7 linked regions of the Ovis aries genome follow. The protein of the gene in region 1 purifies or fractionates together with the protein of each later gene. This does not show direct contact. Links are inferred from orthologs where the notes say so. Each region holds a gene or a part of one and is shown in the gene's direction. Other genes may lie near its edges. The genes, in order: DAXX, RNPS1, BAZ1B, ADNP, MAP3K5, HIPK2 and HSPB1.

The links.
Region 2: the proteins of DAXX (region 1) and RNPS1 purify together in Homo sapiens (co-immunoprecipitation; 3 studies listed by BioGRID and IntAct, with this or other methods). This does not show direct contact. The link is inferred for Ovis aries from reciprocal best matches to the Homo sapiens genes DAXX and RNPS1.
Region 3: the proteins of DAXX (region 1) and BAZ1B purify together in Homo sapiens (co-immunoprecipitation; 3 studies listed by BioGRID and IntAct, with this or other methods). This does not show direct contact. The link is inferred for Ovis aries from reciprocal best matches to the Homo sapiens genes DAXX and BAZ1B.
Region 4: the proteins of DAXX (region 1) and ADNP purify together in Homo sapiens (affinity purification with mass spectrometry; 4 studies listed by BioGRID and IntAct, with this or other methods). This does not show direct contact. The link is inferred for Ovis aries from reciprocal best matches to the Homo sapiens genes DAXX and ADNP.
Region 5: the proteins of DAXX (region 1) and MAP3K5 purify together in Homo sapiens (affinity purification with western blotting; 7 studies listed by BioGRID and IntAct, with this or other methods). This does not show direct contact. The link is inferred for Ovis aries from reciprocal best matches to the Homo sapiens genes DAXX and MAP3K5.
Region 6: the proteins of DAXX (region 1) and HIPK2 purify together in Homo sapiens (affinity purification with western blotting; 3 studies listed by BioGRID). This does not show direct contact. The link is inferred for Ovis aries from reciprocal best matches to the Homo sapiens genes DAXX and HIPK2.
Region 7: the proteins of DAXX (region 1) and HSPB1 purify together in Homo sapiens (affinity purification with western blotting; 3 studies listed by BioGRID and IntAct, with this or other methods). This does not show direct contact. The link is inferred for Ovis aries from reciprocal best matches to the Homo sapiens genes DAXX and HSPB1.

The regions. Positions count from the first base shown.
Region 1 is NC_056073.1:7,643,072-7,647,141, reverse strand, and holds the start of DAXX (death domain-associated protein 6), read left to right. Parts: upstream 1-1,270; 5' UTR 1,271-1,513; intron 1,514-1,743; exon of another isoform or gene 1,744-2,058; intron 2,059-2,089; exon of another isoform or gene 2,090-2,215; intron 2,216-3,049; exon of another isoform or gene 3,050-3,052; 5' UTR 3,053-3,101; coding exon 3,102-3,308; intron 3,309-3,457; coding exon 3,458-4,070. UniProt on the Homo sapiens protein: Transcription corepressor known to repress transcriptional potential of several sumoylated transcription factors. Down-regulates basal and activated transcription.
Region 2 is NC_056077.1:2,304,638-2,308,835, reverse strand, and holds the start of RNPS1 (RNA-binding protein with serine-rich domain 1), read left to right. Parts: upstream 1-1,398; 5' UTR 1,399-1,456; coding exon of another isoform or gene 1,457-1,458; exon of another isoform or gene 1,459-1,851; intron 1,852-4,198. UniProt on the Homo sapiens protein: Part of pre- and post-splicing multiprotein mRNP complexes. Auxiliary component of the splicing-dependent multiprotein exon junction complex (EJC) deposited at splice junction on mRNAs.
Region 3 is NC_056077.1:34,135,574-34,139,593, forward strand, and holds the start of BAZ1B (tyrosine-protein kinase BAZ1B), read left to right. Parts: upstream 1-1,220; 5' UTR 1,221-1,579; coding exon 1,580-1,686; intron 1,687-1,751; exon of another isoform or gene 1,752-2,353; intron 2,354-4,020. UniProt on the Homo sapiens protein: Atypical tyrosine-protein kinase that plays a central role in chromatin remodeling and acts as a transcription regulator. Involved in DNA damage response by phosphorylating 'Tyr-142' of histone H2AX (H2AXY142ph).
Region 4 is NC_056066.1:78,821,179-78,824,678, reverse strand, and holds the end of ADNP (activity-dependent neuroprotector homeobox protein), read left to right. Parts: coding exon 1-2,198; 3' UTR 2,199-3,274; downstream 3,275-3,500.
Region 5 is NC_056061.1:61,837,324-61,840,823, reverse strand, and holds part of MAP3K5 (mitogen-activated protein kinase kinase kinase 5), read left to right. Parts: intron 1-525; coding exon 526-638; intron 639-1,643; coding exon 1,644-1,756; intron 1,757-3,286; coding exon 3,287-3,363; intron 3,364-3,500. UniProt on the Homo sapiens protein: Serine/threonine kinase which acts as an essential component of the MAP kinase signal transduction pathway. Plays an important role in the cascades of cellular responses evoked by changes in the environment.
Region 6 is NC_056057.1:104,612,432-104,615,931, reverse strand, and holds part of HIPK2 (homeodomain-interacting protein kinase 2), read left to right. Parts: intron 1-1,635; coding exon 1,636-2,719; intron 2,720-3,500.
Region 7 is NC_056077.1:34,787,788-34,791,193, forward strand, and holds HSPB1 (heat shock protein beta-1), read left to right. Parts: upstream 1-1,296; 5' UTR 1,297-1,346; coding exon 1,347-1,698; intron 1,699-2,429; coding exon 2,430-2,493; intron 2,494-2,591; coding exon 2,592-2,781; 3' UTR 2,782-2,906; downstream 2,907-3,406. UniProt on the Homo sapiens protein: Small heat shock protein which functions as a molecular chaperone probably maintaining denatured proteins in a folding-competent state. Plays a role in stress resistance and actin organization.

The DNA.
Region 1 (4,070 bases):
GCAATGGAAGCACAGAGTCTTAACCACTGGATGACCAGGGAAGTCCCCTATCACGCTTTCTTACACATACATATCATAATTGAGATGAAAAATATTATTCTTTCTTGTGACCATAAAACTCTAGGTTTTTAGAAATATTTCTTCTGGGTTATCATTACAATTATTATGAGAGCAGAAGTGATAAAATAGCATAAAGATTGTACACATTTTCATAACTTAAAAGTACATGTAAAATGAGATAGACGAGATGGTGTTTATGATGCCTTAAAAGAAATAGGCTACATGTCATTTTTTTAAATTAGAGGATAATTACATTGCAATATTGTTACATTTCTATTTAAGACAAGGTAAGGGAAATCCCTGATGGTCCATCAGTTAGGACTTGGTGCTTTCATTGCTTGCGCTGGGGGCCAGTTCCATCCCTGGTTGGGAAACTAAGATCCCTGCAAGATTCAGGGCGTGGCCCAAAACAAACAAAAAACAACCAAGGTAAAACAAGGTAAAGTTATCCCTAGATTTCATGGTTAAGAACTATACCTTTTTTCTTTTTTTCCTTTTTAAATAGAGAGGGAGAAAGTCTATTGTAAAAGAGAAAAGGAAGGAGAAGCTCTAGTGCAAGCATTTATTCAGGAAAACAAATTTTGGGAAAACTGAGACTCTGGAAATTAATCCTTTATATGTCCCAAATCCAAGTATCCTTAGGCGAGTCTCCGTGTTCCCCAATTTAAGACTACAGGCTTAGACGACTGGAGAGAAGTGGTGTAGGATTCTTTAATGGGAGTGAGGGTTTGAGGGTTTGGAACTCCTGAGGGCTTGGGGATGTAAGAGACTGTGGTCCTAGAAAGTGGCAAGATGCTCACCCTCTGTGGAATTCTCCAGGATGCGGGAAACTGAGAGATTGGAACCATGTTAACCTTTCCGGTTTCCTCAGAAGTTCACCTCTGGGCCCAGCTTTGCCTCTTCGAGCCCCTCCAGTTTCCGTAAAGTTGGTTTAGGGTGAGGGTGTGGGCGAGGCGGGCGCCAATGTTGGTTTCTTCTCTCTTCCTTCGTCAGCTCTCCCAGAGGAAGAGGAGGAGACGAGACTCAAGGTATTTTACGAGCCTCGAGCCTCGTTTCTTCTCACAGCTCTTACAGATTCTGCTCAGAGCCCCCTCCCCACATTGCCTGTCCTCAGGCCCTAGAGGTCCTGGACAAAGCACAGCCTCCTTGTCATCAGCGCCTGCGCCTCGGGAACCCCCTCCAGAAAACGGCGGAGAACCAACTAGGTCCCACCTACTTGGTTGGTCATTACTTCTGTGGTGGAGCTTGGAAAGCACGCCAACAATCGCAATAATAAGAACACATTTGTATAGCGTGTTGTGCTCGTTTGTATGCGTGTGTTACGACTTCATGATTGGGAGATGTAGGCACCTGGATGTAGAAGTAGCTTCTGGGCAGCTGCAAGGGAGCGCGCAGACCACAGAAAGAAATGACAGGTACAGTCGACTGAGCCGCGGAAACCGGGACCTGGCAGGTAGGAAAGTAGCGCCACAAGGCTTGTCAAAAGCCCAGCGGCTAGGAAAGGTTTCATTTCCCTTTTAAGACACTCCTGCCTTTCCGTGCCTCCCTGTTCAGCCTTGGAGGGCCCAATTCCTCACCCCGCGCTGTTCCGTTATTTCCTCCCCCGACCCGGCCCCCCGCCCCCCCACGTAGAAAGGTGGATCAGTCCTCCCCGCACGCGACTAGCGGTGGTTGGGCCGGGATGCGGGAAGTTTCTGATTGGCGGAGTCGCGGAAGCACCGGGTGAAAAGAGCTCCACTGACGGCGGGCCCCGCTCCCGGCGCAGCCAGAGCCGTACGCCAAGATGGCGGCCCCCAGGTATTCAGGACGCCCGGAGGCGACAAATCCGCCCCCTGCAGGTCAGGGTGAAAGGAGCCGCAGACGAGGTGGGCGGCAGGGGAGGCTCTAGGAGGGGCGGCCCTCCCTCCCTGCCTGCCTGCCTGCCTGCCGGCGGCACAGGATTCCGTGCGACAATATGGCCGCGCCCAGAGCGTGTGGGCGGAAGCTCCGCGGCTTCCGGTAAGAAGTGGGGCCTGCGGTGGGAGGGGGAAGGAAGACGGAGGGAACCATGCGAGGTTCTGAGATCCGCGGAGAGGGTCGCCTCGAGAGACCGTTTCTGAGGTGGGGGCCGGACGGTGTGGGGAGCGAAGGCGGGGGCAGGACTGTCGAGGGAGAGGTACTGGGGAGTCCCCGGCGCGGAGTCTGAGGGGCAGGCTGTGGGATCCTCCTTCCTATCCCTGAAGGGGAGTGGGGCGGCCAGGGGCTGAACTGGGGGAGGGGGACTTGGCGGGAAGCTCATTTAGGGGAAGGACTGGACTCAGGGCTGGGATCTGAGAGAAATCGGGAGAGCCCAGCGTGGAGCTCACGATTGGTTACAGGTCACTGAGAGAGAATGGGGGAAATTAGGGTGGGGTGAGAAGGAGGGGACTTGGGGTGAAATATCTTCAACCTAGCGCTTCGGTTTGAGGAGACCCATCAGAGGGTGGAATATAGAGATAATTTAAGTAGGAGAAAAGGGAATGGATTGTTGGGAGGGAACCTCCTTCTCAAGGGGTCTCCGAGTTGGGGTTATCTTTCAGAATGGGGTGAGAGTATAGATTTGATATGTGTGAGAGAGAGCGAACAGGGAAAACGGTGGTGCCAGCGGGGCTGTGGTGTCTGTTCGAGAGAATGTCAAGGAAATCTGTAGTGCAGCGAGAGAGGTCGTCCAGGGGTTGAGAGGAAGACTCAACTTGGCAACTCTGAGAAATAGTGGGGAAAACGAGACTGAAAGACCGGATACATGCGTGGGGGGTGGAGCTGGAGGTGGGACTTCAGGTTTTCAGAAGGTTTGGAACTCCCCTAGTAAAGGGCCGGAAAAACGTACAGTACTAATGCTTGCTGAAGCTAGGAAATGAGGACACTGTTGGGCATGGCTGGGTGCTTTTGAAACCCAAGACTGGAAAACGTGTGAGATGAAGGGATGGGGCGGTGCTGGAGGGGCTCTGTCTGAGGCCCCATCCCCTTCCAGCAGGAATTACGAAATCCCCAACACTTCCTCCCTCCGGGGGATTTGATCCCCTATGGCTACCGCTAACAGCATCATCGTGCTGGATGATGATGATGAAGATGAAGCAGCTGCTCAGCCAGGGCCCTCCCACCCACCCCCTAATCCGGCCTCACCCAGGGCAGAAGCCCCTGGCTCCTCTCAGCCCCATGGGGCTGGAGGAAGCAGTAGTTCGGGCGGCAAGAAATGCTACAAGTTGGAGAATGAGAAGCTGTTTGAAGAGGTGAGCTTTAGGGGAGAAGACTGTCGTGCCCCAGGGAGGGGGATGGCTGCTTGGCTCTGTCCTTTCTCCCCCACTAACCCCACCTCACCTTTCTCTCAACCCTATCCTTTTGTCTTTTTCTCCTCCCTTTTCCCCCGTGAACCTTCCAGTTCCTTGCACTGTGTAAGACGCAGACGGCGGACCACCCTGAGGTGGTCCCGTTCCTCTATAACCGGCAGCAGCGGGCCCACCCTCTGTTTTTGGCCTCGGCGGAGTTCTGCAACATCCTGTCTCGGGTCCTCTCTCGGGCCCAGAACCGGCCAGCTAAGCTCTATGTCTACATTAACGAGCTCTGCACGGTTCTCAAGGCCCACTCAGCCAAGAAGAAGCTGAACCTGGCCCCTGCTGCCACCACCTCTAGTGAACCCTCTGGGAATAACCCTCCCACAGACCCCTCCTCGGACCCAAATGCTGAGACCACTGGCTCTGAGGCCCCAAGGACCCGTGGTTCCCGGCGGCAGATCCAGCGCTTGGAGCAGCTGCTGGCACTGTATGTGGCAGAGATCCGGCGGCTGCAAGAAAAGGAGTTGGATCTCTCAGAATTGGATGACCCAGACTCCACTTACCTGCAGGAAGCAAGGTTGAAGCGTAAGCTGATCCGTCTCTTTGGGCGGCTGTGTGAGCTGAAAGACTGCTCTTCACTGACAGGCCGGGTCATAGAGCAGCGCATCCCCTACCGTGGTACCCGTTACCCAGAGGTCAACAGGCGCATTGAGCGGCTCA
Region 2 (4,198 bases), on another chromosome or scaffold:
CCAAGCTACACTGGTTCCTTCCCCCACGAGGGCCTTGAATCTGTTCCTTTCTCTTCCTTGTGGGACCTACCTGTTCACATGCCCATCAAGAGTGGGAGCGCACCTTCTCTCCCCCCATTGCTGCTGCTGCTAAGTCGCTTCAGTCATGTGCGATTCTGTGCAGCCCCATAGACGGCAGCCCACCAGGCTCCCCCGTCCCTGGGATTCTCCAGGCAAGAACACTGGAGTGGGTTGCCATTTCCTTCTCCAATGCATGAAAGAGAAAAGTGAAAGTGAAGTCGCTCAGTCGTGTCTGACTCTTAGCGACCCCATGGACTGCGGCCCACCAGGCTCCTCCGTCCATGGGATTTTCCAGGCAAGAGTACTGGAGTGGGGTGCCATTGCCTTCTCCGCTCCCCCTACTAACAGTCACGAAACGTTGACTGCCTGCCAGGCGCTGCTCGGAGAGGGGAGGGACACAGCGGTAAACACATCCGCAAGCCCTGGCCCCCTCAGCGCCGGGTTTTACTCCGACAGCCTCCTGCCTGGTCCTGGGCCTCTAACTCTCAGCTTCCTGCCTTTGCCAGAAGGCTCTGACAGTGCAGGATGAAGCCTTGGCGCCGTATGTTGCACAGGTTCTCTGTTCCTCCAAACGCTAGACTCCACCTTCCTAGCCCCGGTTTCTTCCAAGGAGCCTTCGCACCATTTGTTCCTTCTGCCGGACATGCCCTTCTACTGCAGGCCTCAGCGGCAGGGTCAGCGCCTCGGAGGCGCGTTCCCTTCTGCACACTGTCTTCCACCCTGCCTTCTGCAGCCCGCTCGTTCTGGCTGCACTACCCGCTGCCTTGTCCTCCTGGTACAATTCCGCCGGCACAGAATCTGCGCCTGCAGCATCACCCCTCACGCCATGAGCGGTAACTGCACGAACCCATCCCCGCAACTGCCCTGCTCGCGAAGCCACCACCGCCCTACGGGTGCCCACGGCAAGCCGCCAGAGCGTGCAGCACCTGTGCACCCTTTCTCCAACCCCGCCGCCGGGCCGCCCGGGACCCTCCACGTAGCAGCCGGGTCGGGAGCCCAGCGACCTGGGACGCCACCAGGCCCGCAGCCCGCCCGGTGCGCATGCGCACGGAGAGGGGCGGGCCCGCGGCCGCCTTAACCCTCTCCGCGCCAGCCAGCAAACTGCTCTCACGAAGTAGCCCTCGCAGCCCCAGAGAGCTGCCAGCTTGATGGCCCCACGAGGCGTGCAGCCCGCCCGGGGGAGCCCCGGTCGACCCTCCAGAGTAAGCGCCCCGACGCGTCTCTTCCTAAACAGGCCTTGGCCCTTTAACACTCTCGCTCGCGCCCATTGGCCGAGGGGCTCGACGTCATCGCTGCGCGCCGGACGACCGCTCCTTCCCGCTCCCTAATCCTGACGCCAGAGCCGCGCCGCCCTCTGAGGCTGAGAAGAGCGGGAGGAGGTCGCGGCGGCGGGAAGATGTAAGTACCGGGAATCCGACCCCATCCGAGCTTTGGGACCCGCCCGCCATGTTCGGCGGGGCGCATCGTGGAGCCGGCCTGCTCCTTGGCCACGTGGTGGTGACGGTGGGGCCTGTGGCGTCGCTCCGGGTTTGAGAAGAAAGAATGTGGCCCGGGGCGGGCTGAGTGGGAGGCGCCGAAGCTGCGGCCCGGAAGTGGTCGGGGCCGCGGCGGGCGGAAGGGCGCCCTCGTTTCCTCGGCTCTGCAGCGGGACCAGTGAGGCCCGCGGGATTCGGAGCGGCCGGGAACTCGGCCTCCGCCGTCCGGGCCCTCTCACCGGGCTGGAAACCCAGGCCCGCAACGCCGGGCCCTGCCCTGGAAGCGCCCGCGGCCCGGCTCCTGGACTGGGGAGTTGTGAGTGAACGCGGACGCGGGGTGCTGAGGTCGCGTGCGGGGCCGGGGCCGGGGCCGGTGGGTACGAGATGCGTTTTGGGAGCCCCTGGGTGACCGACTGACCCTCCCTTTGAAGCCATTAATTTCAAACATCGACTCCACGAACGTCTGCGGGGTTCCTGTGTGTCGTTCCCGGTGCTAGCCCTTGGGGATACGGCCCCTAATGTCTTGGAGCCCAGTTTGACGGTAACCCCAAAAGAGAGGATACGGAAAGGTTAAATCGACGGAGCAGAGGCGTGGCCTTTTCCAATCTCTCATGAATTGTGCCTGAAATGTACTTGTAAATGGAGAAGGTGCTCCGAAGATGTGAGCTGAAACGCCATGTACGCGAGATATGACTAATTGTTCTCTCCTATTTTTGGCTGTTGGACGCGCACCTTTCCAGAGGATGGGGGAGGTAACCACGGTCCTGTTACCTGCACTTGTGTAAACATAATCAACCTTTGCTTTCTAGCCCTCTGGCCACACCCAGAAAAGCCTTCCTTTACTCTGGTCTTAATTGAGTTTTAAGAATAAACGCTGGTGCTTGTTTTCACAAACTACAAAGAGCAGATCTTTAGGACTGGGGTGGGGCCCTGGAATATGTATTCTAGGTCAGCTGTGTAATAAGGTAGCCTCTGGCCACACGTGGCTACTGAGTACTTGAAATGTACCTAGTTCAAATTGATGTGTTTAACACGCTTAGCATGGGGAAGCATGGATATTTTATTAATGATTTTGTATGCTGATTGGTGAAAAGATGATGTGTGGGGTGTAGTGTGTCAGATAAATACATTACTCAAAGTTAACTTCATCTGTTAACTAATGCTTTTTTGGAACGTTGCTCCAAGAAAATTTTAGAGTACTCTTGTAGCTGGCTCTCTTTCTATTGGACAGTGCTACTCTTGGTGATCGTAATGGGGGCAGTCCAGGGACCCCTGCTGATCATTCAGAGGCTGTGTGACTTAAGAGCCAAGAGTTTGCCTCAGAAAAGCCTCCAAAGCCTTTCTCCTAATATTAGCTAACATCTGTTGAGCCTTAACTAGGTCCCCAAGACTCTTTTATCGGTTACTTTTGTTTATATTCTTGACAGCTATGAAGTGTAGGAACTGTCTGTCTCTCCTTAATGCTGATGAGAAATTGAGGCTCGGAATGATTAAGGGATTGATACAAAGACACAACAAAGCTTTGAATCAGACCCCAAGCAGGGGAACTTCAGACTCGTAAGCACTGAATTATACTCACTATTTGTCCAAGCAAGCCCGCTACAATGTTGCTTAGTGTTACAGGCACCTTACTGAGTGTCTGTGGTGCCTTTTTTCTTTTTTAATTTTGGCTTATTTTTGTGTGTATGCCCTCTCATTTTAAGACATAATGTCTAAAAAGACTTTATAGCCCTGGAAAAGAACAGTGCACTCTTATTTGTTTGTCCACAGCTGGGCACTCTTTCTTGAGTCAGAAATTTATCCAGCATTTTGGCAGCACTGCGCACATGGAAACAGGATTCCGATTGGTGAGCTGTGTCCAGGTTACTTACAGGAAGGTGAGATAGGAGTAGTTGAGGCTAACATCCCGAGATCTTTGCTTCTACAACTCAAGCAAATTGCGCAAAACCTCACTGGAAATACTTAAAGGCAACAGCCCCAGGAAACAGAGCACATAATGAATTAATAGTTTGTTCTTGAGTAGTGTTTACTGATGACCTTTTACTGAGTACATGCTGCAGCTCTGGAACTTAGCTAAACCCTTACATGTGAATGCATCCATTTCCAAAAATGGGAGCATACAGAAAAGCTGAAAAAATTTAGTGCACCAAATAGTCACAGAACCACCACCTAGATTCTACAGGTTACATTTCTGTTATGTTTTGTCTCACTTTACTACTTTTTAAATGTTCATGGGGGACGTTTCATTTGTTTGGTTATTAAATGTTTTGATACTGGTACCAGTCACTTGAAATGGTTTTTGCTTCCAGTCATAATATCTATCCAATGTATCCTGCAAAGATTCCAGCAGTGAAGCGAGGTCGAATCCTGTCACTTAGGGTTTGCTCTGCCTGCCAATGTGCTCCTGTAGTGTCTCTAAAGGACTGTAGAGGGCTTACCGCAAAACTGGTGAGAAACGGGCATTGTACTACCTGTCAAAGAACAGGACCCCACCACCCACACCATTGCTTAAGAAAAAGACAAGCTGAGCCGACAGTTCTTCACGTGTCTCCTGTGGGGGCAGGATCCCCTGAGGAAATGGACCCTGCCCAAGTGTTCCTGGCTTGGTAGATGCACACTGCTGACTGTGTTCCTTGTTGCCTGCTCCTATGCTCAGCTTTTGA
Region 3 (4,020 bases), on another chromosome or scaffold:
AATACTTTGGCCCTCTGATGGGAAGAGCTAATTCATTGGAAAAGACCCTAATGCTGGGAAAGATTAAGGGCAGGAGGAGAAGGGGGTGACAGAGGATGAGATGATTAGGTAGCAGCACCGATTCAATAGACATGAATCTGAGCAAACTCCGGAAGATAGTGAAGGACAGGGGAGCCTGGTGTGCTGCAGTCCAGGGGGTCACAGAGTCTGATAAAACTTAGCGATTGAACAATAAACAAAAAACAATTTAATAGGGATGAATGGTTAATAAGTGTGTTTCTGACTGTACTGGATGGGCAAACAGATTTTGAGTGACTGCAGTCTACTTAGGGAAGTAGCTCAAACATTCTCACTCTCCAGGCACGGTTGTTTTTCTACAGCACCCTATGTATAGCGTTCATCACATAGAACAGTGATTATCTCTTATTTTTTTCAAAGCAGTAGTCTCTGTCTTATTTTCTTCCCCTGTTGCACCCCACGTAGGGCCCTGAACATTTTAGGTGCTAAAAGAGACTATATGAGTGAATGAATTTATCTTTAATAGACATGCCCTTTAATCTATTTTTCCAACGAAGCTTCTATATTACCCTTTCCAGCAAACTCCTAGAAGCAAGCATTATACTATTACCCCACTCTAGTCTAGAAGTTAACTTTAGGGGGACCCAACCTGAACCTCAAGTTACCTCAACAGAACCTATGCCGATGAAGTCTCCGGGTTACTTCCCGCCAACCCCTCCTTCCGTGAGCCCCACCCGCGCATCTCCGGGCGTGGCCGAGCGCGGTGCCTTTAAGAAGGAGGCGGAGCCCTAGTGGAAAGACAAAGCCCCTGGCCGCGCGCTCCCCCTCCCCCCTCCGGCGCTCCACACGGACAGTGGTGCCCGGATGTCGGTGTCGCCTTCAGTGACAGATGGCGCAGATCAGTACATGTTAGAGGGCTTTTCTGGCCTGACCTCTCTGAATTCCCGGCCTTTCCGTCCCCCATTTTTCCCCACTTTCAACTCCGCCGCCGGAGGCCCGCGCGTCTGTCACTGGCGCTTACATAACGTGACCTTTCACCTCTTCATACTGCCCTCTAGTGAGCTGCAACCCAACTAGGCGGTCCGGGAAGGGGGCGGGACCCAACCGCAGAGCGGCAGCTCCTCTGAGCCAATAGGTTCTGGGTGCTGACCAGTTCTCCGCCTATTGGAGAATTCGCCACCGGCGCCACAGGGGAGCAAGTTAGTGTGCGCGCTGGCCGGGCGGGGGGGTGGAGGGGAATCTCCCGCCATTTTTCAATAATTTCCTCCGGTGCAGCTGAGGAGGAGTCGTGACTGCCGAACGTGGGGACCCGTAGCGAAGGTTGGCTGGAGGCTTCGGGACGGCGCGGAAGTGTGTGAGAGAGTTCTGTGCCCGTGGGTCCCGTTCCATGGCTCTAGCGCGGCGGCGCCAGCAGTGAGGGAGCCGAGTTCGCGCCGCCCTCTCACCCCTCCCCTCCCCCACCCCACCCCCGGGAGCCAGGCGCTCGCTCCGGGCCGCGGGGCCTAGTGTTGCGCCGCGGGTCCACCGAGGAGCCTCCGCCTTCCCCGCTGCCGCCGCCGCGATGGCGCCGCTCCTGGGCCGCAAGCCCTTCCCCCTGGTGAAGCCGCTTCCCGGCGAAGAGCCGCTCTTCACGATCGCGCACACTCAGGAGGCCTTCCGCACCCGGGAGTATCCTTTTCCAGCAGCGCCGGCCAGGCCGCCCGCGGGGTGGGGTGGGGCGAGGTGGGCCATGCAGCCCCGCGCCGGTGGCAGCTGTCAGCCAGCCCGGCGCCGGCGGGCCTGCACCCGGAGCCCGAGCCCCGGGCCCGCAGATCCGGGAGTGGGGGGTGGGGGGTAGGGGGTGCGCGGGCGGGCCGGCCAGCCGGCCGGGCTCAGGCCGCCTCCGAGCCTTGAGCCCTCCATCCTTCCCCTGGCTCCGCACTTTGTCCCCGGGCCTCGTTATGGAGGAGCGACCCTCCATCCCACTCCCAGCGGGGGTTGGCGTTAGGCCCTAAGTACCGGGGATGAATGGGGTTTCCTTTGCTGCTGCTTTTTTCTTTTAAAATTAAACCTTCCACTTAAGTTTTGGAAATCGTACTTGCGCGGCCTCGTGATCCGGGTTGTACAAGGCGCGATTGCGTTCTCCCCCACCCCCCTTCCCCCATCCCGATCTCTGCGGGAGCATTTGTGTTTTGCTCCTTCCGAGCGCACTGGAGGCTGATGAACTGACGGGATCAAAATCAAGAATGAATTTCCAGACTCAGAGGAAAGACAGTAAAAAAGTTACCTTGGAGGAGCCGATGCCTTCTATCCCTGGACTTGCACAGATTTGGAATTCTGACGGTGTAGAATATCGGTATTTATCTTTAAACAGCGTTTTTCAAAGACACGCTTACAGTTTTAATGTTGTATTGTAGGTACACGAGGCTGATGTTTTAAATGAGAGGCATCCTAATCATTGCTTAAGGTTTCTTGCTGTCAAGCTTATTGTCAACTCTCTTAGCTAAACTTGTACCACTCTTACTTTTTTTATGGATGCCAGATGCATCTTTTTTGAATCTTAACCGTAAAAAAGGTTTTCGAATGTAGCATTTTTTAGTGTAGAGAAAGCTTCAAGAGTGAAGGCTACTGTGTTAGCTTTATCACCGCTTTCCCTTTGAAAGGACTTGATTTCTCAGCAGTGTCTGTTTGCTCCCATGTAGAAGGAAGTGCGAGTGTGAGCCATATCATTTGATTATATTTCTCATTGATCCTCCCTTTAATGTAGTGCTTTATGGGGTTGTTTCAGTGCAGTTTGAGGATATTAGGTGTTCACGCAGGAAGGGCCTTGGAAAATGAGTCCATGCTGTAGGAAGACTCTGGAAGAAATGCAGCCAGAGTATCTCAGAGCGGAACTAGATCCTGGAGATGGTGGGGTTCCCCTGCCTGGGTATGCCTGGTAGGCCCAGACAGTTGAGATCACAGGCTTGTAAATGGAAGAGTCAGGAGAATCCAGTGCTCTTGGTACCTCATGCCTGAAAGTAGATCACAAAAGGAACATGGAATGCAGTTCCTTCGCTTTTAATGATGTGAATCCACTGTTTGTTCCAGCTGGTAGCGCAAGATGTTTACGTGTGTGCGCTCCGGCTCTTTGCGACTCCATGGACTATAGCCTGCCTGGCTCCTCTGTCCCTGGGATTTCCCGAGCCAGAATATTGGAGTGGGTTGCCATTTCCCACCCAGGGTTCGAACTCCCATCTCTTGGTGTCTTCTGCATTGGTGATTGTGCTCTTTACCACCGAGCCACCTGGGAAGCCTGTGGTATAAGTTAGGGTGTGTTTAAGGGAGAGGTTGAAGTGGTAATCTGGTTCTTGTCCTATTAGGGCTTTGGGAGGATCGTTCTGGAGAAGCGCTCCAGCTCTCCCAAACACAGCATTATTCTAAAAGTGCCGTATTTTTTTTTAAAATAACATTCCAAAACATCAGTGAAGTAAAAAATTACTTGTGGAAATATACTGTATCCTTTTCACATGGCTTTTGAGCAGTTGACGGTTATCACACGAATATTACTGGATGTTGATTTTCACGTCTGGTCCTAGTGAAGTATAAGAAACTGCAATAGGGAGGAGACACATTCTGAGTCTCTAACAGGAACTGAGCTCTGTTTTTTAAAAAATGGCTGTAGATAGCTAACTTAGAACTGGCAGCCTGGGTTTTTTCGTATCATTTACTGAAATTGTTGAAATATAATGGTATATATGAAGCATTTCTTTTAATGATGACAGTTGAACACTAATGCGTGTAACTTTTAAAGTGTTGTGTATTTAATAAAAATTCTTCATCTTTAAAATCTCCCCTACCAGTTTTTAGAACTCTTAACAAAGGAGTTCTTAAATTGTGTTAACCTGCTGGGAGAGAAATTGCTCCCTTGGGAATTTCTACAAGTGGAATCACTTTGAGGATGGTTTTTAAACTATTGTACTGTGTGGTTGGCAGGTTGGCATATTTTTTTATTAGGCTATTAGTAATTTCATAGAGGAGAAC
Region 4 (3,500 bases), on another chromosome or scaffold:
CAAGTGGAAATGGAAGATCTTACGGTCTTGGGTCAGAGCAGAGGACCCAGGCACCAGCAAGATACTCACTGCAGTCTCCGAATGCCCCGCCTCTCTCTTCAGGCCAGTTAAAGTCTCCATCCCTCTCCCAGTCACAGGCATCCAGAGTATTAGGTCAGTCCAGCTCCAAGCCAACTGCAGCTGCCACTGGCCCTCCACCACCCAATACTTCCTCAACCCAGAAGTGGAAAATATGTACAATCTGTAATGAGCTTTTTCCTGAAAATGTATATAGCGTGCACTTCGAAAAAGAACATAAAGCTGAGAAAGTCCCAGCAGTAGCCAACTACATTATGAAAATACACAATTTCACTAGCAAATGCCTTTACTGTAATCGCTATTTGCCCACAGACACTCTGCTCAACCATATGCTAATTCATGGTCTGTCGTGTCCCTATTGCCGGTCAACCTTCAATGACGTGGAAAAGATGGCGGCTCACATGCGGATGGTACACGTGGACGAAGAGATGGGACCTAAAACAGATTCCACTCTGAGTTTTGATTTGACATTGCAGCAGGGTAGTCACACTAACATCCATCTCCTTGTAACCACGTATAACCTGAGGGATGCTCCTGCCGAGTCTGTTGCTTACCATGCCCAAAATAACCCACCCATCCCTCCAAAGCCACAGCCAAAAGTGCAGGAAAAGGCAGATATTCCTGTTAAAAGCTCACCTCAGGCTGCAGTGCCCTATAAGAAAGATGTTGGGAAAACCCTTTGCCCTCTTTGCTTTTCAATCCTGAAAGGACCCATATCCGACGCACTTGCACATCACTTACGAGAGAGGCACCAGGTGATTCAGACAGTCCATCCGGTGGAGAAGAAACTCACCTACAAGTGCATCCACTGCCTCGGCGTGTACACCAGCAACATGACCGCCTCGACCATCACCCTGCACCTGGTCCACTGCAGGGGCGTGGGCAAGGCCCAGAACGGCCAGGACAAGACAAATGCACCTTCGCGGCTGAACCAGTCCCCCGGCCTGGCACCTGTGAAGCGCACTTACGAGCAAATGGAGTTCCCCTTGCTGAAGAAGCGAAAGTTAGATGAAGATAGCGATTCACCCGGCTTCTTTGAAGAGAAGCCTGAGGAGCCTGTTGTTTTAGCTTTAGACCCTAAGGGTCATGAAGATGATTCCTATGAAGCCAGGAAAAGCTTCCTAACAAAATATTTCAACAAACAACCTTATCCCACCAGGAGAGAAATTGAGAAGCTGGCGGCAAGCTTATGGTTGTGGAAGAGTGACATTGCTTCCCATTTTAGTAACAAGAGGAAGAAGTGTGTCAGAGACTGTGAAAAGTACAAGCCTGGTGTGTTACTGGGCTTCAACATGAAAGAGTTAAACAAAGTTAAGCATGAGATGGATTTTGATGCTGAGTGGCTATTTGAAAATCATGATGAGAAGGATTCCAGAGTCAATGCTAGTAAAACAGCAGACAAAAAGCTCAATCTTGGGAAGGAAGATGACAGTTCCTCAGACAGTTTTGAAAATTTGGAGGAAGAATCCAATGGGAGTGATAGCCCTTTTGACCCTGTTTTTGAAGTTGAGCCTAAAATCCCTAATGATAACCCAGAGGAACACATACCGAAGGTAATTTCTGAAGATGCTTTAGAAACTGAGAAGCTAGACCAAAAAGAGGAGGATGGTTCAAAATATGAAACTATTCATTTGACTGAGGAGCCAACCAAACTAATGCATGATGCCTCTGATAGTGAGGTTGACCAAGATGATGTTGTTGAGTGGAAAGATGGTGCTTCTCCATCTGAGAGTGGCCCCGGTTCCCAACAGGTGTCAGACTTTGAGGACAACACGTGTGAGATGAAAACAGGAACCTGGTCCGATGAGTCTTCCCAGAGTGAAGACGCGAGGAGCAGTAAGCCAGCTGCCAAAAAAAAGGCTTCCGTGCAAGGTGACAGAGAGCAGTTGAAGTGGAAGAATAGTTCCTATGGAAAAGTTGAAGGGTTTTGGTCCAAGGACCAGTCACAGTGGAAGAATGCAACTGAAAATGATGAGCGCTTATCCAACCCACAGATTGAGTGGCAGAACAGCACAATTGACAGTGAGGATGGGGAGCAGTTTGACAACATGACTGATGGGGTGGCTGACCCGATGCACGGCAGCTTGACGGGGGTTAAACTGAGCAGCCAGCAGGCTTAAGGGCCGGCTTCTGTGGCATTGGTGGCAAATGCTGCAGCCTGGAACTCTGTTCTGTCAGTTATGACTGCAAAGCTGTGTTCTAACTGGTACTGCCTTCTGAGTGCGGGGTCATCAGGCGGTGGGGACATGTGGCCACTCCAATCCCAGTGGCTATTTCTAAGTCTGTGACACATGATTGGCTGATCTTGCTTTAGAACGCTCTGTGACAGACACAGTAACTAAATGTGAAAAACCAATAAGCTGGTGGCTCATGAACGCACACGAGAAAAAGCAGAGGTTTGTCTTACCTGCCTTCTCAATATTTCTTTCCCTCTGTAAAACAGTGTCTGGTTGGACGTCCTTGAGAAGCGTTCTCCTGATTAAAATGGTAGTGTAGGGCCAACACACAAGCTGCCAGTCCAGTGTGTACAGTGGACTTTGGGGAAATCAATTTTTTTCATGTATTCATTCTGAATAGTTGAAATGTATATTTGTACAGTCTTTTAGACCTATTCAAGTGATGCTTACGATATTGTTATTGTGTAGCCATCATAGATGCGTTTCTTTTTTTAGTGTTGCCCTTGCTGTGTAATAAGCGCTGTATCTAGTTGACCTAGCAAAAGCCTGAAACTGCGCTAGTGTGGACTTCGGGACAGACTTAGTTTTTGCACATAACCTTGTACAATCTCGCGACAGAGGCCAGCCACATAAGATATATATCTGGACTCTTCTTGTATTATAGAATTTTTCTTGTTCTGAATATCCTTGACATTACCGCTGACAGAAACAAAAACTGGTATTTCAGATGTTTTCTGAAATCTTTTAAGCTAAAAATCACATGAAGAATTGACTTTGCAGCTACTAACTTTGACACCTTTTAGATCTGTATGGAAGTGTGTTGTGTTGAAGCAGCAGGCCAATGAGTGCTGCGTTTTGGATATTTAGTTTTATCTTTAGTTAAACACCACCCTGGTGTATTCATTTATACCATCTAATATATGACACACTGTTGTAGTATGTATAATTTTGTGATCTTTATTTCCCTTTGTATTCATTTTAAGCATCTAAATAAATTGCTGTATTGTGCTTAATGTAAATACTTACTTGCTTTATTACGCCTTCCAGTCCTGTGTGTCCATTACATCTTGTACCAGTTGATGCCGTGGCTTCCTCAGCAGAGATGGCGGCACGGCCACTGAGGAGACTTGTGGAAGACCAAGGATGGCATCAAGAAGGCTTTCTCTCAAGGCTCTTGTTACAAATTCTTTGATTCGGTTTGGCCTTTGTCTGTTACCTTTTTAATCACTAAAATAAACATCCTTG
Region 5 (3,500 bases), on another chromosome or scaffold:
TCAAACCCAGGTCTCCTGCACTGCAGGCAGATTCTTTACTGTCTGAACCACCAGGGAAGAGTTACTTCTCAAATTTTCATAGTTTAAAGGGAAGTGAGTACCTTTCTTCTTTGCACTCATTGCCTATTGTATTACCGGTGTTGACCAACTTTTTTGATGAGGGGCTATGCAGGTGAACACCATATGTGAATGTGTTTGCCATTATGGTCATAGAAGGAAACAGAACAACATCTCTGAATCAGCCAGTTACGGGTGCAAGTTTTAAATTCTTGTCTGGAAGCCCACTTTCTAGAGCTTTGCTCCTCAACTTGGATGTCTGTGGATTTGGGAGCTTATTACATATGCAGAAACTCAGAGCTCCCTAACTAACCCTGCTCCCCAGCCATCTGCTGGATCAGAATCTGCATTTCAATAAAACCCCAGGATGTCTGTGTTCATTATAGCTTGAGAACCTTTGTCTAGAGGGTCATTTTGTGGCTGCTCCCACTTCATTATCCTGTCAACCAATATAATTTCCTCCTGCAGATTACTGGAAGAATTGGTTCAGAAAGAGAAAGAATTACAAGCACTCCTTCATCAAGCTATTGAAGAGAAAGACCAAGAAATTAAACACCTGAAGCTTAAGTCCCAACCAATAGGTGAATAGCAGAAAATTTTATTTATTTACTTATTTTTTAAAGCCAGAAAATTTTAAAGTAATAGTGTTCAGCCAAACTCCCACAGAAAACTAGAAAGCCAACAGGCAAACTTTATGTCATGGCTTATTCAGCATCTGTCACTTGTACCACAACTACGAGCAGAAATTGCTGTACAAAAATATCCAATTCTTAATTGTAGCAAACCATTATTTCTTATATGTACAGTAAAAATGATTCGTAATTATCTTTTCCTGAGATTATATACTATTGAGGTAAATAGGGATCTCCATTTTTTTGTCTTTATTTCTTTTTAAGGATTTCACAGTGAAATTACTAGAATAATATAATACTATTTTGGTCATTTTGCATTTGTATTCTGTGTATTCTAGTGTTTTATAATTTGACAAGGCTTAAGTAGAATAAAGATAAATAGCAAGTCATAAGTTGAATATACTTTAATAAAATGTTTTGTCAATTATATCTGTTTTTTTTTTTTAAGTCATAGATTGGAACTTTAAAGAAATCTATTCTGTGAGAAATTGGGGATGGAAGATAATCTTTAGGCAATCTTATTTAGCCCATTTAGAGGAAAATAAAAGTCATTATTTTTTGTTCAGATATAAGGTCCTTCCACATTATTGCAACTAGTGGAAAAAGAGATTATTATAATTATATGGTTCTCTGCTAATTATGCTCATCTTTGTTGTCTGAAAAATACACAGTATAATTTTGATGCACCATTTTATTCTGAGGCTATAAAATTGATACGAAACCACAAGGTGGAAGTATCATTAATTATTGTTAGTGACCCTCCATTTACTAGCATATTAAGCAGCCTCAAAGAGTTTGATTTATATTATCTTGTAGACTGCCGATCTCAGTGGTTTCTATTAATTATCCTGTGATGGAGAAAAGTCTGTTAAAGTATCAGTAAATGTTGACTATCAGATGACCTCTGAAGCTAAGAATGTCCCTCCTTATCCCCCAACCCCAATGCTGTCCTAGATATTCCTGGGTTGCCTGCGTGTCACTCCAGTTCTCCTGGCACAAACACTGAAGATTCTGAACTTACTGACTGGCTGAGAGAAAACGGAGCCGATGAAGACACTATAAGTCGGGTAAAGAAAACATTCCATGAGACAAACATTTTTTCACTAGTTTCCTAATGCTGAGTGCCTACTATGTGCCAGGCACGGGGGATACACTGCTGAGAAACTGACCCAGCCCTGCCTTCCTGAGGCTCATAGACTAGGGTAGGCAGACGATAATCAAAGAATTCCACATGTACAAATATAATTGGGTCCTCGTCAAGTCTGTAAAGGAAAGGTTATCAGGTATTAGGAGACAGAGGGAGGGAGAAGTTGGGGAAGGTTCTTTGAAAAGATGATTGGCAAGCTGGAGTCTAAAGGAATGCTTAGGAATAAACTGTATGTCTGTTCTGGGATGGGGGAAAGACAAAAAGGGAAAACCATTTGGGGTGGAGGACAGAAACAGTGAGGCAGAAAAAAGCTCTGTGGTCCAGAACCCGTAAGGATTTTTGTGCTGTTTCATTGAAAATAAAGAAGAGGAAAAATCAAGACAAGAACTAAAAGGAAAAAGTTCTTCCACTTCTCATTCTTTCTCTTGTTTTTTAACTCTTAAATTCTTATGTGACATTCTTAAATTCCACTGGGCAGCAGCTATTTATTGTTACTTAATGAAATAGACTAGTTACTGAACTTATATCAGAAACAAACACTTTCAATACAAATTATATTATATAGGGAACTTTTGTAGTTAGCATGAATAGATTTCTTTATGTTGTAAGATCACATATATGTGCAGTAAGAGGTTATATTTCTATTATTTTATAGAAATAATAAATAGTTTATATAAATAGGAAATATTTATTTTAATACTATTTATGTATTTAATATTATTTATTTTAATATTATGTTGATTTCAGTTTTATATTTAAATTTTTTAAATGACTAAGAAAACAGATGAATTTCTTTTGGCTTGATAATTTCTTAGATTGCTTAATAAAATTTAAGAGTCTCCTTAGAAATCTGCAAGCAAATTACAGAAATTAAAAGGAGTTTCTCATCTTTGGGAAAAATTTATCCAATCAAATTTTCCAAAATATTTTCCCCTCTAACTTAGACTCAAATAAAAATTAAGGAGTAGTCATTGATGACACACTAAATCACTGACCTTTTTGAAAGATTTAAAATAAAAAGCTTCATTTAAATTCAGGACTCTGAATTTGTACTAAGTATCGGAAAGTTTTCCAAAATGAAGTGTAAACAACACATTTTACCCACTGGGAAAAAATTAAGCTACAAAGCACTAAACCTTTTAAATACAAACATTATCTTATAAGCAGCAGATATAATTACAAGCAAGTCTTACCTGCTCATCAGAAGACCATTCAGAAGTACTGTGTCACTTGTCATCTTTCTGCTCCTAGAAGTCGTGTGGATGTAATTCTTTGTAATTATTTTGTAATAGGGGGAACCTTTTTCTAATAATTCCAAAAGATTCTGTCTTTAGTGAATTTCCTTTTAGATTTATTTTTCATTATTGCAATGTTTACATTATGGATAGTTTGCTACTTATGGAAGTGCAAAAGACATCTTACTTTTGTGTGTATTTTACTTTCTCCACAGTTTTTGGCTGAGGATTATTCATTAATGGATGTTCTCTACTATGTTACACGTGATGATTTAAAATGCCTGAGACTAAGGTACCACTTTTCTTTCTGTTCAGTCTCATCATGATGGAAAGAGCACTGGGCTGAGATCAAGAAGCCTGGGTCCCTTCCCAGATGATTGCTAACTAGCTCTAACTAGCTCTGCAGTCTTGAGTAGAGTGCTTGAGTTC
Region 6 (3,500 bases), on another chromosome or scaffold:
CAAAAGGAAATGAGAGAGGCTGAATCCTGAGAATTGGGGGAACTTTTAGTGTCAGAACAGGGAGACCCTTCTTCTCCTGAACCGGAGAGATGGAGGAGAGGATGGAGGATGGGGACAAATTCAGGGATGTTTTGAAATGACGAGACTAGAGGTGGAAAGCAAGGCTGCTGGCCTCTGGCTGCTGGACAGTGTGGAAAGTGGGTTGTTGCTGAGAGAAAAGGTAGATGAGGTCAAAGGGAAAATGTTAAATAACCACCCACAGGCAATGCTAGGGGGTCAGAAAGACACACACACTAGGATCATTAAACACCAATGGTGCTTGAGAGAAGCCCCACTCTCTGTGTGCTTTTATAGGAAATGTTTCTTAACTACACTTTAGAAGATGGGCAGTGTTTATTTCTGCTTTTACCTGCAAGGATTTACCCTTCCTCATCACCCCGTTACTTTTCCTTAATTCATTGTCTATGAATTTTTGTTTGTGTCCAGCATCACCATGGTTACAAATTGCACAGCTATTCCATAGTTGTGGTCTTCTAGATTACTGAGGTTTCTTAAATTGTGGGTGAGGTTTTGATATGAAATAATAGTACTTTCTAGATAAATTGATTGATACATGACTTTAGCAGGAAAAGTGAGTGAATAGAGCCCATGAATTATGCTACCCTTTACCCTAGCCAACTCCCCCCCCCCCAAAAAAAAAATGTTGATAAAATGATTTCAGACTATCTCAGTAAAAACGTCAGACCAACTGCTGGTCAGTTCAGCCCTACAGAATGGTTTAAGGTGAGTAAGAAACCAGGGGGTAATTATGGTTCTTCCGGAAGCTAGCAGATCATGGGTGGCCCTGTGATTGGACCTGTGTGGGAAGCTTTTTCCTCAAATGAGCAAGCCTGACACTTGCAGGGCCTGTGTATGGGCAGGGAGTACCCAACCACGTGAGACAGCTAAGTATACAGTAGGTAACCGGGCCACCTGAGGCAGCCTTCAGGTTTAACTGGGTTGCCACCCGATGAGAACTGAGGAAGAATTTGTTTCTATTGCAGACAATGCTTATTAGGAAAAAAACCCAACATAACAAGCTAAATTCTGGAATTCTAATTCCATCTCCGACACTTGGCCGTACTCCCACCCTTCGAGTCTTCTACCGGAACTCCCCGGGCCCACAGGCTTAGTGGCCAGATTGTGCTTCCGGGTGGAACAGAGTCGATTTTCCAACCTTTTTTTAAAATTTATTAATTTTTTAGCTGCGCTGGGTCTTCATCGCTGTATGCGGGCTTTCTGAAGTTGTGACAAGCGGGGGCTCCTCTCTAGTTGCGGTGTGCGGGCTTCTCGTTGCGGCGGCGTCTCTGGATGTGGAGCACGGGCTCTAGGACGTGCAAGCTTCTGTAGCTGTGACACGCGGGGTTAGTCGCTCTGCGGCATGTGGGATCTTCCCCAACCAGGGATCGATCAGGCGTCCCCCTGTCGTGCAAGGTAGATTCTTCACCCCCCAGACCACCAGGGAAGCCCCTTTGCCCTTGTTTTGAAGTGGAAAGACAGTATTCTCGAGGACCCACACCGCCGATCAGAACCCAAGGGGCCATGTCACGTTCATTCACGCAAGGGCGACTAACATCTCTCTCTCTCCTCCCGCAGGTATGGCCTCACATGTGCAAGTTTTCTCCCCTCACACCCTTCAATCAAGTGCCTTCTGTAGCGTGAAGAAACTGAAAGTAGAGCCGAGTTCCAACTGGGACATGACCGGGTACGGCTCCCACAGCAAAGTGTACGGCCCGAGCAAGAACGCACCACCGTCCCAGCCAGCCGCCGCGACCGTCAGCGCCTCCCTGCCCATCCCCAACCCCAGCCTCCCGTACGAGCAGACCATCATCTTCCCAGGAAGCACCGGGCACATCGTCGTGACCTCAGCCAGCAGCACTTCCGTCTCCGGGCCCGTCCTCGGCGGACCGCACAACCTCATGCGTCGCAGCACTGTGAGCCTTCTTGACACCTACCAAAAATGTGGACTCAAGCGGAAGAGTGAGGAGATCGAGAACACGAGCAGCGTGCAGATCATCGAAGAGCACCCGCCCATGATTCAGAACAATGCGAGCGGGGCCACCGTAGCCACTGCCACCACCTCGACTGCCACCTCCAAAAACAGCGGCTCCAACAGCGAGGGGGATTACCAGCTGGTCCAGCATGAGGTGCTGTGCTCCATGACCAACACGTACGAGGTCTTAGAGTTCCTGGGCCGAGGGACGTTCGGGCAAGTGGTCAAGTGCTGGAAACGGGGCACCAATGAGATTGTGGCCATCAAGATCCTGAAGAACCACCCGTCGTACGCCCGCCAAGGTCAGATCGAGGTGAGCATCCTGGCCCGCCTGAGCACGGAGAGCGCCGACGACTACAACTTCGTCCGTGCCTACGAGTGCTTCCAGCACAAGAACCACACGTGCTTGGTGTTCGAGATGCTGGAGCAGAACCTCTATGACTTTCTGAAGCAGAACAAGTTCAGCCCGTTGCCCCTCAAGTACATTCGCCCGGTCCTCCAGCAGGTCGCCACCGCCCTGATGAAACTGAAAAGTCTAGGTCTTATCCATGCCGACCTCAAACCGGAGAACATCATGTTGGTAGATCCATCCAGACAGCCATACAGGGTGAAGGTCATTGACTTCGGTTCTGCCAGTCACGTGTCCAAGGCTGTGTGCTCCACCTACCTACAGTCTAGATATTACAGGTAAGGCCGTGTGCCCTGAGATAAGAGATGCTGAATGTCCAGCAGCATTCACAGAGCGTGTGCCGTGTTGGTCTCTGCCAGGGAGATAAAATTGCTGCTCTCGGTGGTCATGATTTAGTCGGGAAATTAGGACATGTGCACTTGGAAACGATGATTAGAAGTCACGTGAAATCAGAGCCAAGTAAGATTCTTGGCGTAGATGTTCAGAGTTGGGAGGGATTCCTGGCAGGGTGGGGCTGGGGCTAAGAGCAAAGGCATGGCAGGGGAGTCAGGTCGTCATGGACGGACAGAATCCAGATGCAGGTAAAGGAGAGAGAGGGGCACACATGATGAAGTCGCTCCAGCAAAATGCCCAGAAAGACTCACAGCAGACTGGAGGACTGCCCACCTGGCCAGAACAGAGGATCCGTGGTGGGTGGAAGAGCTGACCACAAGGATAAGCTGGCACCGGGATGCTGGGGTCTTAGCGACCAGACTAAGGGGTTGCAGTTGCATCTGTAAACATGGAGTAAGCACCAATGCATTTGTGCAACAGAGGGTAGTGGGATGAAAGTGATGCTCTGAGAAGGTGGTCCGATGTCCCTGTAGGAGGAGGAGGCCAGGGGGTGGGTCTGTAGCCTGGGGACCAGGCCGCCTGCTCTGGTGATGGGAGAACTCCAGGTTTGGGGTCAGGAAGATGGATTGTAACACCGTTGGCTGGAAAATGTGAAACTTCCATTCCTTCACTCAACAAAGATTTATTTCACTTCTGTCATGAGCTAGGCGCAGCGCTGGGGATGGG
Region 7 (3,406 bases), on another chromosome or scaffold:
TTTCCTCATTGAAAAAGGAGGGATACAGGACACATGTCAGGAGAAGGAAGGCAGGAGAGAGAGATTGTTAGGATTATGGCAGGAAGCTAGGGGCAGCATCTTTTCCCAGAGCGGGTAGTGGGGGCGTGGATCTCACAGGCGGTCAGATCGGAGGAGGGGCCGGCCTCAGGCTCCAAGCAAGTTTGAAGGAATTGCCCCCTCTCCGTCTGCGGGAATATTCAACAGAACAGGATCGAGGTAATAACCTGCCAACAGGGAAAGGAGCATTGGCCCAAATCACACAAACAGCAAAGCCCTGACTAGATTCAAGGTTGCTGCATTTCAAGTTCCCCTGTCTAGGGCTCCTCCAGAAAACTAGATATAATGGGGAGACTTGACCATAACCTTCTTCCTGACCCCTTCTCAGTACTGGCCCTCAAGGTTTGTGATCTGAGTCTACTCCACTGGGGTTCAGTGGGCAAATGGCCAAACCTACACATACCATTGCCTCTGCAACAGGGACACATACATGCTTTCCTTCTTGCCCCCTCCTTCAACTTCAGGGGCTAATAATAATTATAGATAATATATTATCTATATATATTATCTATATATAAATATAGATAATATATTCATTATCGTGTACCCTGGACTAAAATGTTTACTTGCATTGAGGCTGAATCTTCAAACCAACCTAGCGATGAAAGCATTATCATCACCACCATCATCCCATTTTCCCGATGGGGAAACTGAGGCAAAAGACTCTGAACTTGCACAAGTTCATCCAGTGAGTGGCAGAACCTGCATGTGAACTCAGGCGGTCTACCTCCCGAGACCGCCCTAACCACGCTGCTTCTTAAGGCATTATATCACAGACACACTGCCTTCCAAATCCTGGCTCGCTCTGCCAGTTCCTAGTTGTGCGCCCTGGGACTCACTGCTCGACCTCTCTCTCTCCCCTTGGGACTCACTGCTCGACCTCTTTCTCTCTTTCTCTCTCTCCCTCTCGGCTTTGTCCTCCCCGACTGTCCACAGATAGAGGCCCAGCGCTTTAGCACCCAGGCCTCCGAGCGTCCAGCAGTGGGCAGTGCTCCGACATCGAGGCTCTAGTCATTTGTTTTCTCGAACAAGAGAAGGTTCCAGATGTGGGCAGGGCCTTCCTCGCCCCGCCCCGCGCCCCGGTATGCAGTGGAGGGGAATGCAGGGGGAGGGGCTGCCCCCTGGCCCGTCATTGCCATTAATAGAGACCTGAAACACCGCCTGCTAAAAATACCCGGCTGGAGACCCATAAAAGCGCTACGGGGTCCGGCGCCCGCCACTTCTCCCGCTTCTCCGAGCCTACTCCGGACGCACCCAGACTAGCCAGCATGGCCGAGCGCCGAGTGCCCTTCTCGCTCCTAAGGGGCCCCAGCTGGGACCCTTTCCGCGACTGGTATCCGGCCCACAGCCGCCTCTTCGACCAGGCCTTCGGGCTGCCCCGGCTGCCCGAGGAGTGGTCGCAGTGGCTGAGCCACAGCGGATGGCCGGGCTACGTGCGCCCGCTGCCCGCCGCAGCGATCGAGGGTCCCGCCTACAGCCGCGCGCTCAGCCGACAGCTCAGCAGCGGGGTCTCCGAGATCCAGCAGACCGCCGACCGCTGGCGCGTGTCCCTGGACGTCAACCACTTCGCCCCCGAGGAGCTGACGGTCAAGACCAAGGACGGCGTGGTGGAGATCACTGGTAAGCACCCCCTGGCCCCCGCCCCAGGGACGCCGGCCCCTCGCCTCTCGCGGGTCCCGGGGAAGAGCTCTGGGTTGAAACATGGGCGGGGAGCCGGGAGAGGGGGCCGCTGGAAAGTGAAAACTTAGCCGAGGACGGGCGGTGGGGGGGAAGGCGGGGAGCCCCCAGAGCGGGGCCCGGCCTCTTCGCCCTAGCCCTGGTCTGTATTCTCTGGAGTTGGGGTTTGCTGGAGTTCCTAAGGGATCTTTTAGCCCTAAAAAGTCTCCACTAAGGAAAGCAACGCCCCCTTCCAGCGGAGACTCCCCTCAACCCCAGCCCTCGGACCTGAGGACCTGGCCCCCAAGGGACCAGGCCCCCCCGCCACGCCCCACCCACCCGGGCCCGCAGTCGGTATGAAGAGGGCGTCGCCCTCGCCGCCCTGCCCCCCATGCCCCCCACGTCACGGTCCCTGCTCCCAGCCCGGGTCCGCGGAGGGGGCGTGTGCGCCTGCCCCGAGCCGCGCTTCCACCCCCACCCCCCACTCGCCAAGCCCCTGAACCCGAACTTTCCAAAAGCTTCTGAGTTCCCCAAAGCTTCTGAGTTCCCGGGACAGTCTCGGGCACCCAGATCCCTCCGTCAGTCTTGCCAGCCCGGAGTCCTGGCCCGCAGGTGGGGCGCGCTGGGCTGCGAGCCAGCGGCTAGGCCGCCCCTCCCCGCCTCCTCTGACCTACTTCCCCTCCCCCTCCTCCCAGGCAAACACGAGGAAAGGCAGGACGAGCACGGCTACATTTCCCGTTGCTTCACTCGCAAATACACGTGAGTCCTGGCTCCGGATCTGGGGGGCGGCGGGCGGGAGAGGGGCGCGCGGGGACGCCCTGGTGTGTAACTCTTGTCCACCCTCTTTGCCCGTCCAGGCTGCCCCCCGGTGTGGATCCCACCCTGGTCTCCTCCTCTCTGTCCCCTGAGGGCACACTCACCGTGGAGGCCCCGTTGCCCAAGTCAGCTACCCAGTCTGCCGAGATCACCATTCCCGTCACCTTCCAGGCGCGTGCCCAGCTTGGCGGCCCCGAAGCCGGAAAGTCCGAACAGCCGGCAAACAAGTAAAGGCCCTTTGCCCAGCGGCCCACCCCACAAGTAGCCATCACTGACCATCCTCACCCGCCAAACCTCTATGTTCTTTTGATACGTTTGCCTTCTGTTTTTCTCAAATAAAGTTTGAAGCCACTGCCCGCCACTGCCTCAGACCCTGCTGGTTTTGTGAAGGAAGAAGGGTTGGTGCTGGTTTGATGTTTGCTGAGGGCCCGCTGGGCACCAAGCCCCAGGCTGGGTCCTGTGGGTGCAGTATCATCTGTCACTGGGCACAGCCCTGCCCTCCTGTACCCCTTGTTCATTAAGAGAGAAGCAGTGATTGTTCACCGGAGTTAAAACGCCCAGGGCTGGAGGGGGAGCAGGGGAAATTATGAGAGGCACTTGACCCAGGCTTGGGCACTCAGGAACCACCTGGGCAAGGGGGCAGGTGAGGGAAGACAGGGCAGGGCTGGGGGAGAGGGCTTCCTGGGAGCTCAGATTCCTGACTTCATCGTAGAGGGTTTGGACCAGGTAGATTGGAGGGGAGGTGTGGCCACCCCTGGCGGCTTTCTGAGGGGCGATTCCCCCAGCCCAGCCCATGTAGGCAGCACGGGACCTGGGTCCTCAGGTCTGAGAGTGCCCCGCAGAGAGTGATGAGCAG